3 linked regions of the Saccharomyces cerevisiae S288C genome follow. Each later gene encodes a partner of the first gene's protein in a complex. Each region holds a gene or a part of one and is shown in the gene's direction. Other genes may lie near its edges.

Region 1 (3,996 bases):
TTTTTTATCAACATTAATTGTAATTTCTTTATAACATCTTATTGGATATCATACGAATGTTTTTAAATTACAAAATCATTAAATCATAAAATGTTCAGTGAGTACAATCTCCCAAAGTCTACGTTTACTGTAATTTATCGCTATTTACAGGGACGCTGCAGCTTAAATATTAGCGCCTAAGTTAGTCGAAGCATTCTGTCTTGCCCAATTCTGGACAGTAGCAGCGGTCTTTAAACCCACCCCACTCGGCCAACATTTCTAATTTTTCCTTTGGCTCTAAGAAATATTCTCCGCTTAATACAAAGGTCCCCCAATGAACGCCTAATACATTTCGAGCTTCTAGATCTTTCATAATCTTGAGAACCTCTTGAGGATTAATATGTCGTGGTTTTTGGTGCCACTCAGGGCAATACTGACCACATGGAAGCAGCGCTAATTTACAACCTTTGCCAAAGCGTTCTTTAATTCTAACGAATAAATCTTTCACATATCCAGTGTCACCAGCATGAAAAAGTATGGGATTACCATGGTGTGTTAATAAAAAGGAGCACCATAGAGACTTGTTCGTATCTAAGAGCGATCTCCCAGACCAATGCATGGCAGGAGTAGCCGATATGTGGTATATCTCATTGTTTTTCTTTACTTGCAAAGTTTCCCACCAAGATAATTCTAGGACATTATCACAGCCGTTACTTGTCATATAAGATTTCATTCCTTTAGGTACTATCCATAAGGGAGAGTCTTTGCCACTCCAGTATTCCAAGCTTTCTAAATCCAGGTGATCGGGGTGATTATGGGATACAAGGATGATATCTGGTTTGGGCACCTCTGTAATTTGAGATGGCATTTGAGTAATTCTTTTAGGACCCAGGGTCTTGTGGATAAGAAAGTCACTGAACAGAGGATCAGTAAGTATCCTCAATCCATTATAAACCGTGTAGTTACAGGACTGGCCCAGCCATGTGTTATAGACTGGGCACTTTGATCCTTCATTTTCTTCTACTGCAGTCGGTATGTGCAATTCGTCTAACACTTTGCATTCTAGCGGCAATGCCGTTTCCTCTGCGGGGTCGACGTCCACTAAGTTAGGCCCCCATGTTGGCTTGTGTACAGGCATTAACTTATTCATTTGGTGTACATCACGTGGAATACCTCCCCTATTTCTTTCAAATAATTCGAACACTCTATTTGCAAAGAATTCAAAAACGGTCTGAATCCTGTATTCTTCGAACGGGTTCTCAAATCTGCCTAAAACTTCCAAAGGGCTATATTTTAGCAAGGATCCCTTATAAGTGACCTCGTTATTATTCTCCTCTAATCTTTGACACATTTCGTTTCTTAAATCAATTTGCTTCACTGTAGCCAATGATACATAAAACGCATATCCTGTGTAAGGTACCAAAACAGACAACAGAAGTATACGTGCGTATTTTCTCGAGCATTTTTGTATAGGGCGTGTCTTTTGCGAAGCATGTCTTTTGAAAGTTGACAATGATGTCTGGGGTCTAAACAGCTCTGATTCTCGTAAACGCACTAGTCTCCTTTGGAGAAGAAGCCTCATCTGAACATGGCAGGTAACAAAATTCATTTGCAACACAAGCAGGCATGCAATCCTTCAGTAATTGGAGTGCTACTGTTCACACCATATTCTCGCTATTCTCGAACTACGTTTTTTTTTTTTTGTTAAGCATCAGTAGTGAGTCTTCGGGAACTGCTTAACGACAGTAAAGGAAAAAAAAAACTAGCAGCTGTTGATAATATTCAGAAAATGAACGCAGAAGGAATCATTAGCTAAAAAGTTTATTATTAAAATCAGACATATATCTCATTATAATATTTTTTTTTTATAATACCACCATTTGTTCTCATATAATACTGATAAATATCGCATCGAATGGAAAAGACAAATAGGAGGCCGCTATTGTAATTTGGGCCTTAACCTATTTATTCTCTCTCTTTTAATTGATATTTTAATCTTTTTGAAGCCTACAATGTATTTTGGGCGATAATCAAGGAGAATATCAGTGTCATATACTCACTGTGGTAAATGTATTTCTAAAGTAGTTCCAATTCTTTCTTCAAAAAAGGCCACTAGACGATGTGCTTTCTTGCACAAGCATTTTGCTGGGCTATCTTCAATAGTGATAATTCTAACTAACTCAAAACCAGATGGCAAGTTCTTCCCTATGGTCGACTTCTCTCAGACGCAATAGTAGCTATGTTATTGATGGCTTTTGACGCCAGACCGGGTAAAGCGCATGGAATGAACTCTAAACTGTTAAAATAACAAAAACGACATATGAAGATGTCGATGAGGCTGGATAGTTTAGAGATGAGGTGCAGAGAACAACATTGTATAACAAATTCGGCTCCCAAATATCGCATGTACCATGTCATTTCGTAAAAGAGGTGAAATACTGAACGATAGAGGTAGCGGGCTAAGAGGTCCACTGTTAAGAGGTCCTCCACGAACTTCCTCAACGCCATTGAGGACAGGCAACAGAAGAGCCCCTGGAAATGTGCCCTTGTCTGACACTACAGCGAGATTAAAGAAGTTGAATATTGCGGACGAATCCAAGACAAAAATGGGGCTGGATAGCTCCCATGTGGGCGTTAGACCTTCTCCTGCAACCTCTCAGCCGACGACATCAACTGGGAGTGCTGACCTGGACAGTATACTAGGCCATATGGGGCTGCCGCTGGGAAACTCTGTACTAGTAGAGGAGCAGAGCACGACAGAATTTCACTCTATTCTCGGTAAACTGTTTGCCGCACAGGGTATCGTTCATAATAGAATTTCAGATAGCAGTGCTGATAAAACTAGAAACGGCGACACTCATGTCATTGTCTTGTCATTGAACCAAATGTTTGCAAAGGAGCTACCTGGTATCTACAAGGGATCACGTAAACAAATGAAGAAAAACCTAATCTCTGAAGAAGAATCAAAAGTTACTGTTCAAAATTTGAACGAGACCCAGAGATCGACGCCTTCCAGGTACAAAGACCTGAAAATTGCATGGAAATATAAACTGGCAGATGAAAAGAGATTGGGTTCTCCGGATCGAGATGACATCCAACAAAATTCTGAGTACAAGGACTACAATCATCAGTTTGATATTACAACGCGTCTGATGCCCGCTCCCATAGCATCTGAACTGACATTTATCGCCCCAACTCAACCTGTCTCCACTATTTTGAGCCAAATAGAACAGACTATTAAAAGGAATGACAAGAAACTGATAAGAATTGTTATTCCTTCCCTTCTACATCCGGCAATGTATCCGCCCAAAATGTTTGAATCATCTGAAATAATAGGTTTAATGCACGGTGTGAGGAGTCTTGTCAAGAAATACTATGAGCGGGTTGTACTGTTTGCTTCCATATCCATAGACATTATCACTCCCCCATTACTGGTATTGCTGAGAAACATGTTCGATTCTGTTATCAATCTAGAACCCTTTAACCAGGAGATGACTGAGTTCTTAGAACGTGTTTATAAATCGCAACCGGGGAAGATTCAACATGGGCTAGTCCACATATTGAAATTACCAGTTTTCACGGACCGTGGAGAGATGAGAGTTTTAAAGTCTGAATGGGCATTTAAGAATGGCAGAAAAAAGTTTGAAATAGAACAATGGGGCATACCCGTGGATGATGCTGAAGGTTCAGCTGCCTCGGAACAGTCACATTCACACTCGCACTCGGATGAAATCTCACATAATATACCTGCAAAGAAGACCAAGATATCTTTAGACTATTAAGAATATGGTTCAATTTATGGGAAATATACGGCATGCTTTTTAACAAGCGTGGTGAATGTATTATTTTTTTATCTGTTATATCTTAAATACGACTATTATATATATATCCATCGTCTTTTTCCTGACTCTAAGCGGTGGCAGCTGGAAGGTAGAAAAAGGTATCGCCTAGATGTCAAAATATGAAAAAGTGAAATGAATATTAACAAAAAAGGAGCGTGAGCTGCAGAAAGAATTT
Region 2 (4,704 bases), on another chromosome or scaffold:
CATCGGTGGTATCATTAGAATGATAAAATGGAAGATTATTGTGGCCCAAGTTGGATGTTCTATTTCCTTGCTGGCGTTCATAATATCTTGAAGATGGACCATTTATATTCTGCGATGCAGTCATTGTCAACGGGTTCCCACTATTTATCATGGCTGAGCCATTTGTAGCTGACATGCCATTAACACCCCAATCAGGTACTAACACTGTAACAAAATACATATAACCCTTTTCTTTGATTAATTCACTTTGCGTGTTTTTGTAATCTATTGACATGATACGGGCCCAAATAAAAACTAGGATGGGCTTCAACTCAGGTGCTGGACTTTGTAGCAGCTTCAAAACGTAGGGGAAGATACCTATTGAAAGTGACAGGTAGACAGCCCACGGGCCTAAATCTAAAAATCTGGATAAAAGTACCAACGCACGTATACGATGCACTTGCGAAAGAAGAACCTGTAAAACGATAGGAAGCTGCTCAGGCGGGTGTCTGACATTTGAAGCATATTTCAACCACAATTCAAAAGCAGTCAAATTTTGTTCAAAAAATCCTGTAAATTGTTGTTGTTGTTGTTGCTGCTGCTGTAATTGTTGCTGTGAGCTTTGCAAAGATATAGATTTTCTTGATTGGAGAGCAGGGTTATTTACTAGAGACATTGTACTTAAATTGGCCACTGCAAATCTCGATTGTGTTTGAATACTTCCGGCTTTCGTATCTTGGGCATTCGACTTAGAGCTGCCACCATTCTGTAAGGTTTCTTGTTGTTGTAGAATCATCTGACTCTCTAAGGCAGTAGCGGGAGGAGCATTTTTCAGATCAATGACTATTTTAGTCAGTACTTCATCCATGGCTAAATCCCAAGATTTCCACATTGGATGTGTGGTTATACTATCTGGTAATTCTGGATCAGATACAGGATGGCAATTGTACCACGGCATTATTCTTTTGGCTAGAAGAAAATTTCTGAAAAGCGCAGCAATCATTAAATCATGTCTGAATAATTTTTTGAAAAGTGGTCGGGGGAGGGATGTCCATGCAATTGTGTCCGTTATAGCTGTAAAAATCCAATTTAGTTCTCCCAACGGCGTTCTCCTATCCGACAACATTCCAGGGATATTGACGTTGGGTATTTTGGACTTGAACGAGTTCTTACTATCACCAAACGGTTGATTTGAAGTACTATTTTCGAAGAAAATTTTATATTTAGAATCTTTTAAGGGTGACTGCATGAGAAAGATACGGATGCTAATCTCTATTGGACAGGTCAAACAACAACTAAACAAATCTGCGGGTAGTTCCGGACTCATAAGTAAAAGTTCATCGGAAGTGCAAGAGGCTAATTGGAAACAATCTTGATAAGCTGAAGTTGGTGATGGCGCGGCAACATCATGATTTCCCTCTTCATCATCTTTAATCCTCTTTTGCACAAACTTCTGAAAGTTGATTAATATATTTTCAGCACTGTTGCAATCATAGACAAATATACATGGCGCACCTAACCAAGTTTGCAGGTCATACAAAGATACCGGAATATATTGTGTATAACCTCTGTTGAAAACCCAAATTTCACCTGATTTTGTAGGCTTAGGCACACCATGTCCGTTGTAGTGGAAAAGTATCCTATCTTCCTTAGAAGTTCTTCTTAGCGAGTTGCAAAACCGTTTGACATCCTCTACACAAGGATCCAAGCTTTGTTTATAGCGTGTTCTCAAAGACAGAGTTTCGTACTGTGCTTGTAAGTTTTTACCAATTTGTTCTATTGCTTTCTTCGAGTCCTGGAAATTCAATGGGTCTACCCATGCTTCAACTCTGGCACAGGGATGTGTCTTCATAACATCAGGGGGATCGACACCTAAATTCAAGCATAATAAAAGGGCCGCACTTACTGTCTTCTGTCGATCTTTCATAATCTTCCAATCGGTAATCGGCTGGTAATAACGATTTACATCTCGTTGTTTATCCTCTTCAGGAATCGGATTTCCATTAGTTTTGTGTCGTTTATCATCAAAGTAGAATATGAAATCATTCGCGAGTGATTGTAAAAGTTGGTCACTTTGGTATTGCTCTTCAAACCCATGTCTCATCACCGTATTGAGTGGCTTTAATGGCTGAGGTCCATAAATCTCCGGCATTATGTATCTTTTACCCTTCTCTGCATGCAATAGGATTCGCTAAATGTAATCAAAGGAATCTACAAACCAAATGCATTCGAAAATAACTTTACAAGTTTTAAAATCCTCTATATACTTATGTAAAGTACTACCTATTGATGATTTATTAAAGTATTTTTGATACTATTAATGCTGCCTTGATTATCATCTCATAGTGCGGGTCACCTTGAAAAATCCAAATATAAGAAGCGATGCCATTATAACCTCTGGAGAATGATAACTTAAGAGCTTTTTAATAGCTCCAACCCAAGCTATTGCTACAGGTAGAACAAGATATAATGGCCAGTTCGTCACATAACCCTGTCATTCTTTTGAAAAGAATCTTATCGCTCACAGAAAGCTCCCCTTTCATTTTGTGCTTAGATTCTATTGCCCAGACCTCATACAAGCTCATCCAAGAATTCGTCCACCAGAGCAAGAGTAAAGGAAATGAGTATCCAATTGTGTACATTTCGTTCGAAACAGTGAATAAACCATCGTACTGTACTCAATTTATTGACGCTACGCAGATGGATTTTGTACATTTAGTGAAACAAATTATATCATATCTACCGGCTGCTACTGCCACACAGGCAAAAAAGCACATGGTCATTATCGATTCATTGAACTATATTTCTACAGAATACATAACAAGGTTTTTGTCTGAGATCGCCTCTCCTCACTGCACGATGGTTGCGACTTATCATAAAGACATCAAAGATGAGAACCGTACGGTAATACCTGATTGGAATAACAATTATCCTGATAAGTTGACTTTACTGCAGTTTATGGCCACTACAATAGTAGATATTGATGTGGTATTAACAGGCACTCTCGATACTGAGGAGGTGAGTGAATTGTTAAACGAATTTAGAATTCCTCGCGGGTTAAATAACGATATATTTCAATTACGACTTGTTAATAAAAGAAAGTCCGGCAGGTCATTGGAATACGACTTCATAGTAAATTCAAACACCCACGAATATGAATTATTATCAACCACTAAGCAAGAAGAGGAGAGCAGTAGTAACGGACTGGAGACACCCGAAATGTTGCAAGGATTAACAACATTCAACCTAGGAACATCCAACAAACAGAAGCTGGCCAAAGATCAAGTCGCATTGCCTTTTCTGGAGGCACAAAGCTTTGGACAAGGGGGTGCTATTGTTTATGAGTACGAAAAGGATGACGATTATGATGAAGAGGATCCATATGAGGATCCCTTTTAAAAAGTAGAAACTGATGGTAAATAGTGAGTGCTTCCAGATTATGTAAACTACGTATACTTCATACACATATCTAGATGCTAGATTGTTAGTCTGTTTTAGTCTTTTTTTTCCCTAGGAACTTTTCCTTTAGCTTTAGCAATTTGTATTTTAAGCCAGATTGCAACGTAATCTTATCGGCCTCTTCGACGGTGACCATTCTCTTCACCATCAAATTGTATAGCATACCGAATATGAGTCCCATGATTGTAGATGTTAGAATGATGACGTTATACGGCATACTAAAATCCGGTGTAGACAGGGATAACAATAGGGTAGAGGTTCTCATTTCATAAAGAGACGATGAGGACTCCAAAGATAGCACGGTGATTACAGCTGCATCGATTTCAAAACCATGGTTTGCATCTGGTGGATACTCGGCAAATTGCAGAAGAGCTTTATCGAATTGATAAGTCATTACAATGTCCGTATTAGCTGGAATTAACATCGTGAACTCCAAGTGGCCAGGTCTTTTTCTATCGGCCGCTTGTAAATAGTATTTATCTAAGATGATATCGTTTTCTTGCAATTGCGGAGAGGTAGTAGAAGTAATTTGAAGAGAGGATAGGTAAACTCTCATGAACCATGGCAATGATTCGAAATAAATCAACTTCACAGGGGTATCATTGTCGTTATGGAAAACAATACGCATTCCACCACGATCTTGTCCATTACCAGTCAGAGATCTGCTTACGTGAATTGGGACAGGAACTATGGGAGTAACTTTAGTAGTGTCCGTCGATTCTAAAATAAAGTCGTAGCCCGAACCACCCTCATTTTGATCGTTTGATAAGTCAAAGCAATTATCATGTGTGCTGAAAATAGTATCGTCAACTGACAAAAACGCAGTCCAGGTAGAACGGTCAACTTCTGCACAAATTCTTGTGGGCCTATTAGCAAACAGGTTGCCATTGTTTATTGGTCTGGCAAACAGCTGAGACAGCTTGAAGTGAGTCTGCGAAGGTTCCGGTAGAGGGAAGCATTGGTAAGAATCAAAGGGTTTATCCGTGTCACAACGCAATGTGTTCCCATCCAAAGGTTTGGGGATAGGTCTCTCACCTCTTGCCAAGGCGGAGGGAACGTGTGTTACCATTTCTATGCGTGCGTCCATCTCGTAGTGACAAAGAGCATCTTCATCTTCAGAACAAATAGTGGCAATATCCAAGGAAATACTATTCCATAGAGAGTCGAACAATTTATGACCATCCAAGAGAGATGTCAAACCGGATTTGCCCCTAGTAGGCAATAGTTTTATGAACGGCGTCAAGTTCTCGGTACAGATGGGTTCAT
Region 3 (4,525 bases), on another chromosome or scaffold:
TTGAGAGAGGTTGCGACAGTCCGATACCAATGTCGTGGGGATACAGAGTGAATAATGTCTGGTTTGTGATAGAGGTTTCTCAACCTTTTTGAACTTCCTCGTGCTGCTCATCAAACTAAGTGATACACAGCTTTGTGGTCAGTAGTATATATTCCTGGGACCGGTAGTAGTTGTGAAACAGAGTACTCTCACTTGCCGATCACAGCTCATCGATGGGAAATTTTTCATGTATAAAATAAAGCTTGTTAAAAAATCAGTTCGTTTCGCGTGATAACAAACAGTGCATATTTATGTACCAAGAATCCAAAAAATAAGATATATTTAGTATAGGTAAACGTTATGGAGGTGTCATGTTTCATGGTTCTTTTGTCGTACTATCATCTTCGTCTTCGTCTTCGTCCTTTAGCGCTTCACGGGACTTTTTGTTGAAAATTGCCCTTACGTCGTAATGCTTCTTTCTCATTTCTTCAAATTTCTTATGTCTAGCCTCCGGTGAGTCTTCATCATTCTCGTCGTTGGTCTCAAAATCCGGTTGTTTGTTCTCTTTGATTTCAAATTCCGGTTCGCCCAGGGACAAATCGTCGATGTCATCGTTTGCCACCTGGCATGGTTTTTTATCACTATTATCCTCATCTTCATCATCATCTACTCTGTAGTATTCCCCGTGAGGGTCCACAGCACCTTGGTAGGGGGTCTTGGGCTCGTCTATGTGAATATCTTGGAACTGCTTTTTTGTTATTTCATTTTCTGCTAAATTTCTTTGGTTCCATTGAACTCGCTCTTCTGGTGTCATCTTGGCCAACATGTCTTGCTCATGTTTCAGTGACAGTGTGTCCTTTGGAAGGAAGGTACTCGATGTTCCAATTATCTCCCCCTCCTCTTTTGTATTATCTAGTCCCGGTATATTCCTTTTATGTGATGTCAATTTGGCATTTTTCTGCGTATTTTCGTAAACTTGTCTTCTAAACTCTTCAAGCGTTTCTGGATCCTGTTGCGCCAGCTGCTCCGGCGATAAGGCTAGCGGGTTTTTAAGTATACCTCCCATTATTCTGCTGATGTGCGTTCTTGATGATACGAACTCGTTGTACTGATGAAGCTCTTGGACTTTAAGTTGTAGTGGTGTTCTCAAATTATCCTTTCGGTGGAAGTCATTTCTCCCTAAAAAAGCGTGAGGGCAAAACTTGAAACCGGGTAAGAATATGCGATAGTACCGTTTTGCCTCTAAAGACAGTGCTTCAGAGAAATATTAGCAAGGTGTCGAATCAAGTTATACTAGATAGGAGGATTTCATAATGAATAATGCTTTAAAATGGTTCTCACCTTTATTTTATCATTTTCTTCTTTTCTTCTGCTATTGATTTGGTAGTGTTCGGGTTAATTCATTTTTTTGTTCAATAACAAGAACCAAACATAAAAAAAAATACTTTAAGAATAAACAAGACTGATGAAGCATAGATCATATTATTAGAGCGCGTAAGGTATGTAGAGCACAGATTGGTCCTTCGAGTGTGATTATATAATTTTATATACGCTCCTTAATTTAAAAGCGGCTTAGATAGATTTTTTATACTTTGCTGTTGGAAAATTCCTGCTGAAGCAAAAGAATTTGCAATTCGTTCTTAGCCTTTAACCCCAATTTTAAGGCTGAAGCCGTGGCTTATATCATGGGCTTTGTTTATCCAACTTTTCACATCTATAGTACGCTATCTTTGCATCTCTTAGGCATGAATTGATAGGCGATGAGCAGAATGAAAAATGAAAAAAAAATAAAAGTACTAAATTGAGGCTAGTAGAAGTTAGGCAAAAACCGTCCAGAACCTCCACAAAAATAACTAAATACACATTTATGGGTAGTGTTCAACGACAAGATTTGGTCCTATTCAGCGACCAATCAGTGCTTCCTGCCCACTTTTTCCAAGACAGCAACTCTCATAACTTATTCTTCATCACCCATCAATCCTGTACTCAACCACTATGGATGATAAACGCACTAGTAGAAACGCACGTGTTAGGTTCCCCAAGTTCCCTTAATGAATCTTCTTCATCGATGCTACCTTCGTCAACTCGCTCCCATGCAGTCCTTGCGTCGTTTATCCACGAACAGAACTATTTTACAAATTCATTAAACAAGCTAAAGATCCCATCTAATAACTACAATGTTTTAGACTTCCTGTCCGACTTCATCGTTAATAATATCCATAATAAGCCAAGAGACAAAATACTAAGTGACGTACTCGCAAAGTTCTCCGCTGCTATACAAAATAACCCAACTGACACCATTGTTATCATCGAACAACCAGAATTACTGTTGTCGCTAGTAAGCGGCCTAACTTGTTCAGAATTAAACAATAAGTTCATCACACCTCTTTTGAGGCAATGCAAAGTGCTAATCATTGTTTCCAATTCGGACATATTTAATATAGATGAATACGATGCTTCTGTTCATTCCTCGAATCTGCAAAATTTCTACAAATCTTCCTTTATCAAATCAATGATTAATTTGAACTTGAATCCTCTGAAGACCGGTTTTGCAAAGGACGTAACCGGCTCATTGCACGTTTGCAGGGGCGGCGCACCCATTGCAACTTCAAACACAAGCCTACACGTCGTTGAAAATGAATACCTATATCTGAATGAGAAGGAGTCAACAAAACTATTTTATCGCTAAATAATGATAAGATTATATACGAGGCACATTGATTCTCGTATTATTGTTTTTTCTATGAACTGAATATATTTTTAAGTACAATATCAATGAAAAATATATGCAATCGAGCTCTATCAATAAAAAAAATAAGACAGAAAAAAGTGGAAACGATACTACCTACTCCGTCTTGCTCTTATTATGTCGTCTAATTTAAATTCGACTGCACATCTTGTCTTAATTAAAGCTAGTGCGGGCCATGTACTTCGTTCACCAGATTTTATCCAGTATGGAATGTTGTTTAGTTGACCTTCAATAATCCTTGTTAATGATAGACTTTTCATCCTTGGTACCACAGCAATCTCCGTAGCTGATCTGGGAGTCTTTTCATCAATTATTAGTCTTTTTATTAATGAGCACAACAGGCCTAAATTATCCAATACCTCCATCCTATGTCGAAATTCCATAGTGGCAATATTTTTTAATTTTCTTTCCAGATGATACTTAAATTTAAACGCCAGCGGTTCCATTTCAGTAAAGTTCAACTGCGGTATGCCCAATTCTGGGATTATGTACTCTGCTGAATCGTTGACTGCCGAACTTGGGGGCACAGGGCTCATTAAAGGCTCTGGCTCAAGATCCTCGACAGTTCCTGCCTTTATGGGTGATTGCGAAGAGGATCTCTGTGTTTTTCTTACTGTATTCGCGTTTATAGGAGGCATATTTGGATAATGCTTATAATAGTAATATTTTGACGTTTTTATTTCATGCTTCAAATCATTTACCACCAATGGTGCCAAGTATGGTCTCGCCAAAGAAACAATGAAGTTATTAACATTGAATAGTTCCGTTAACCTAGTATAGGGGCTCTCCGTTATGCTCGGATTGTTGGCATTTTCTGGGGTAAGAAATTTGACTTGTTTATTTTTATTGATGTTAAGAAAAGGCTCAATTTCATTTTCTAAATTTTTACATAATAGTGATGTATCCTCTGAAATTACACCAGAACCAAGTGAGCATTCAATGGCTGACTTGATTAATACGTTTGGGGTTGTCACATAATTTAGTAAATTAGGGCATGATTTATCAGTTGGATGAATAACAATATTGAAAACTTTTCCAGTAATTTGATAAACTTCTTCAAAAGTTTTTTCCTTAACAATATATTTCATAACAAACCGGATAAAAAGATAAACGTCTTGAGAATAACCGTGGTGTATTAGGTTCTGAATCAAAGTCCCCAGGTTTAGGTGCTGCTCTAAATTACCGTATCCACAGCTTTTTAATAAATCTACATCATTCTTGATGATATTCAAGAGGTTGTCATCGGTCAATAATTGCTTTAGTTGCTCATTGGACAAGCAACCGAATAAACTTGCAACGCATGCCCCCATAGAGCTACCACTTATAATATTAGGCATCAGGTCCTGTAACAATAAACCTCTAATCACCCCAAGGTGAAACAGCCCAAACAATGAACCACCTTGCAAGATTAATGCTGTTGTGCCCAGTGACAACTTACATCTTTGGAAAAAGGATGTTGGAGTTAAAGTTTGATTATTTAATATATCCAAGCCTTCTAGAATTCGGGTCAAATATTGTTCAATAAGTAGCTTTGTACCCATCAAAGATTTTGTGAACAACTTTTTATCTCCAATACCCGCAAAGTTCCTCAACATACAAGGGCCTGTAGTCGAAAACTTCTCCTTAACTACATCATACTTCTCCTCCCTTAACATATTTTCCAATATGCTATATTGTTCAATGACAGAATTGAAGTCGTACCTCCTCGAAAAGAAATTCCGCCGCCATAAATTTGCGCCTGTTATTTCATCCACTACGGACGCTTGCTGACACCACATTTGATACGTATCACACTCA

The links.
Region 2: the proteins of ELP4 (region 1) and IKI1 are in contact, whole or in part, in a crystal structure (PDB 4A8J), measured with the Saccharomyces cerevisiae proteins. Residues at the interface, in NP_015224.1 of Saccharomyces cerevisiae: Thr115 (codon at 2,733), Thr116 (codon at 2,736), His293 (codon at 3,267), Pro294 (codon at 3,270), Pro299 (codon at 3,285), Phe302 (codon at 3,294), Glu303 (codon at 3,297), Ser304 (codon at 3,300), Ser332 (codon at 3,384), Ile335 (codon at 3,393), Thr337 (codon at 3,399), Leu340 (codon at 3,408), Gln359 (codon at 3,465), Thr362 (codon at 3,474), Glu363 (codon at 3,477), Glu366 (codon at 3,486); in NP_012057.3 of Saccharomyces cerevisiae: Ala2 (codon at 2,452), Ser3 (codon at 2,455), Ser4 (codon at 2,458), Glu115 (codon at 2,791), Thr118 (codon at 2,800), Asn151 (codon at 2,899), Asn152 (codon at 2,902), Asn153 (codon at 2,905), Tyr154 (codon at 2,908), Pro155 (codon at 2,911), Thr159 (codon at 2,923), Leu160 (codon at 2,926), Phe163 (codon at 2,935), Lys209 (codon at 3,073), Ser212 (codon at 3,082), Gly213 (codon at 3,085), Arg214 (codon at 3,088), Ser215 (codon at 3,091), Leu216 (codon at 3,094), Glu217 (codon at 3,097), Tyr218 (codon at 3,100).
Region 3: the proteins of ELP4 (region 1) and ELP6 are in contact, whole or in part, in a crystal structure (PDB 4A8J), measured with the Saccharomyces cerevisiae proteins. Residues at the interface, in NP_015224.1 of Saccharomyces cerevisiae: Val265 (codon at 3,183), Ser266 (codon at 3,186), Leu269 (codon at 3,195), Ser304 (codon at 3,300), Ser305 (codon at 3,303), Ile308 (codon at 3,312), Gly309 (codon at 3,315), His312 (codon at 3,324), Gly313 (codon at 3,327), Arg315 (codon at 3,333), Ser316 (codon at 3,336), Lys319 (codon at 3,345), Lys320 (codon at 3,348), Tyr322 (codon at 3,354), Pro338 (codon at 3,402), Pro339 (codon at 3,405), Val342 (codon at 3,414), Leu343 (codon at 3,417), Asn346 (codon at 3,426), Met347 (codon at 3,429), Thr390 (codon at 3,558), Asp391 (codon at 3,561), Arg392 (codon at 3,564), Gly393 (codon at 3,567), Glu394 (codon at 3,570), Met395 (codon at 3,573), Val397 (codon at 3,579); in NP_014043.1 of Saccharomyces cerevisiae: Ser38 (codon at 1,958), Cys39 (codon at 1,961), Thr40 (codon at 1,964), Gln41 (codon at 1,967), Leu43 (codon at 1,973), Trp44 (codon at 1,976), Phe82 (codon at 2,090), Ile83 (codon at 2,093), His84 (codon at 2,096), Glu85 (codon at 2,099), Asn87 (codon at 2,105), Tyr88 (codon at 2,108), Phe108 (codon at 2,168), Leu109 (codon at 2,171), Ser110 (codon at 2,174), Asp111 (codon at 2,177), Phe112 (codon at 2,180), Ile113 (codon at 2,183), Val114 (codon at 2,186), His118 (codon at 2,198), Gln150 (codon at 2,294), Leu153 (codon at 2,303), Ser156 (codon at 2,312), Leu157 (codon at 2,315), Val158 (codon at 2,318), Ser159 (codon at 2,321), Asn186 (codon at 2,402), Asp188 (codon at 2,408), Ile189 (codon at 2,411), Ile192 (codon at 2,420).

Annotation. Positions count from the first base shown.
Region 1 is NC_001148.4:357,819-361,814, forward strand, and holds ELP4 (Elongator subunit ELP4), read left to right. Parts: upstream 1-2,390; coding exon 2,391-3,761; downstream 3,762-3,996. Other genes in the region: FMP30 (N-acetylphosphatidylethanolamine-hydrolyzing phospholipase D), read right to left, coding at 182-1,588. UniProt on the Saccharomyces cerevisiae protein: Component of the elongator complex, a multiprotein complex which is required for multiple tRNA modifications, including mcm5U (5-methoxycarbonylmethyl uridine), mcm5s2U (5-methoxycarbonylmethyl-2-thiouridine), and ncm5U (5-carbamoylmethyl uridine).
Region 2 is NC_001140.6:478,542-483,245, forward strand, and holds IKI1 (Elongator subunit IKI1), read left to right. Parts: upstream 1-2,448; coding exon 2,449-3,378; downstream 3,379-4,704. Other genes in the region: ubiquitin-binding TORC1 subunit KOG1, read right to left, coding at 1-2,131; GPI-anchor transamidase subunit GPI16, read right to left, coding at 3,464-4,704. UniProt on the Saccharomyces cerevisiae protein: Component of the elongator complex which is required for multiple tRNA modifications, including mcm5U (5-methoxycarbonylmethyl uridine), mcm5s2U (5-methoxycarbonylmethyl-2-thiouridine), and ncm5U (5-carbamoylmethyl uridine).
Region 3 is NC_001145.3:896,559-901,083, forward strand, and holds ELP6 (Elongator subunit ELP6), read left to right. Parts: upstream 1-1,846; coding exon 1,847-2,668; downstream 2,669-4,525. Other genes in the region: UPA2 (putative methyltransferase), read right to left, coding at 1-111; PP1-complex regulatory subunit GLC8, read right to left, coding at 356-1,045; TGL3 (bifunctional triglyceride lipase/lysophosphatidylethanolamine acyltransferase), read right to left, coding at 2,821-4,525. UniProt on the Saccharomyces cerevisiae protein: Component of the elongator complex which is required for multiple tRNA modifications, including mcm5U (5-methoxycarbonylmethyl uridine), mcm5s2U (5-methoxycarbonylmethyl-2-thiouridine), and ncm5U (5-carbamoylmethyl uridine).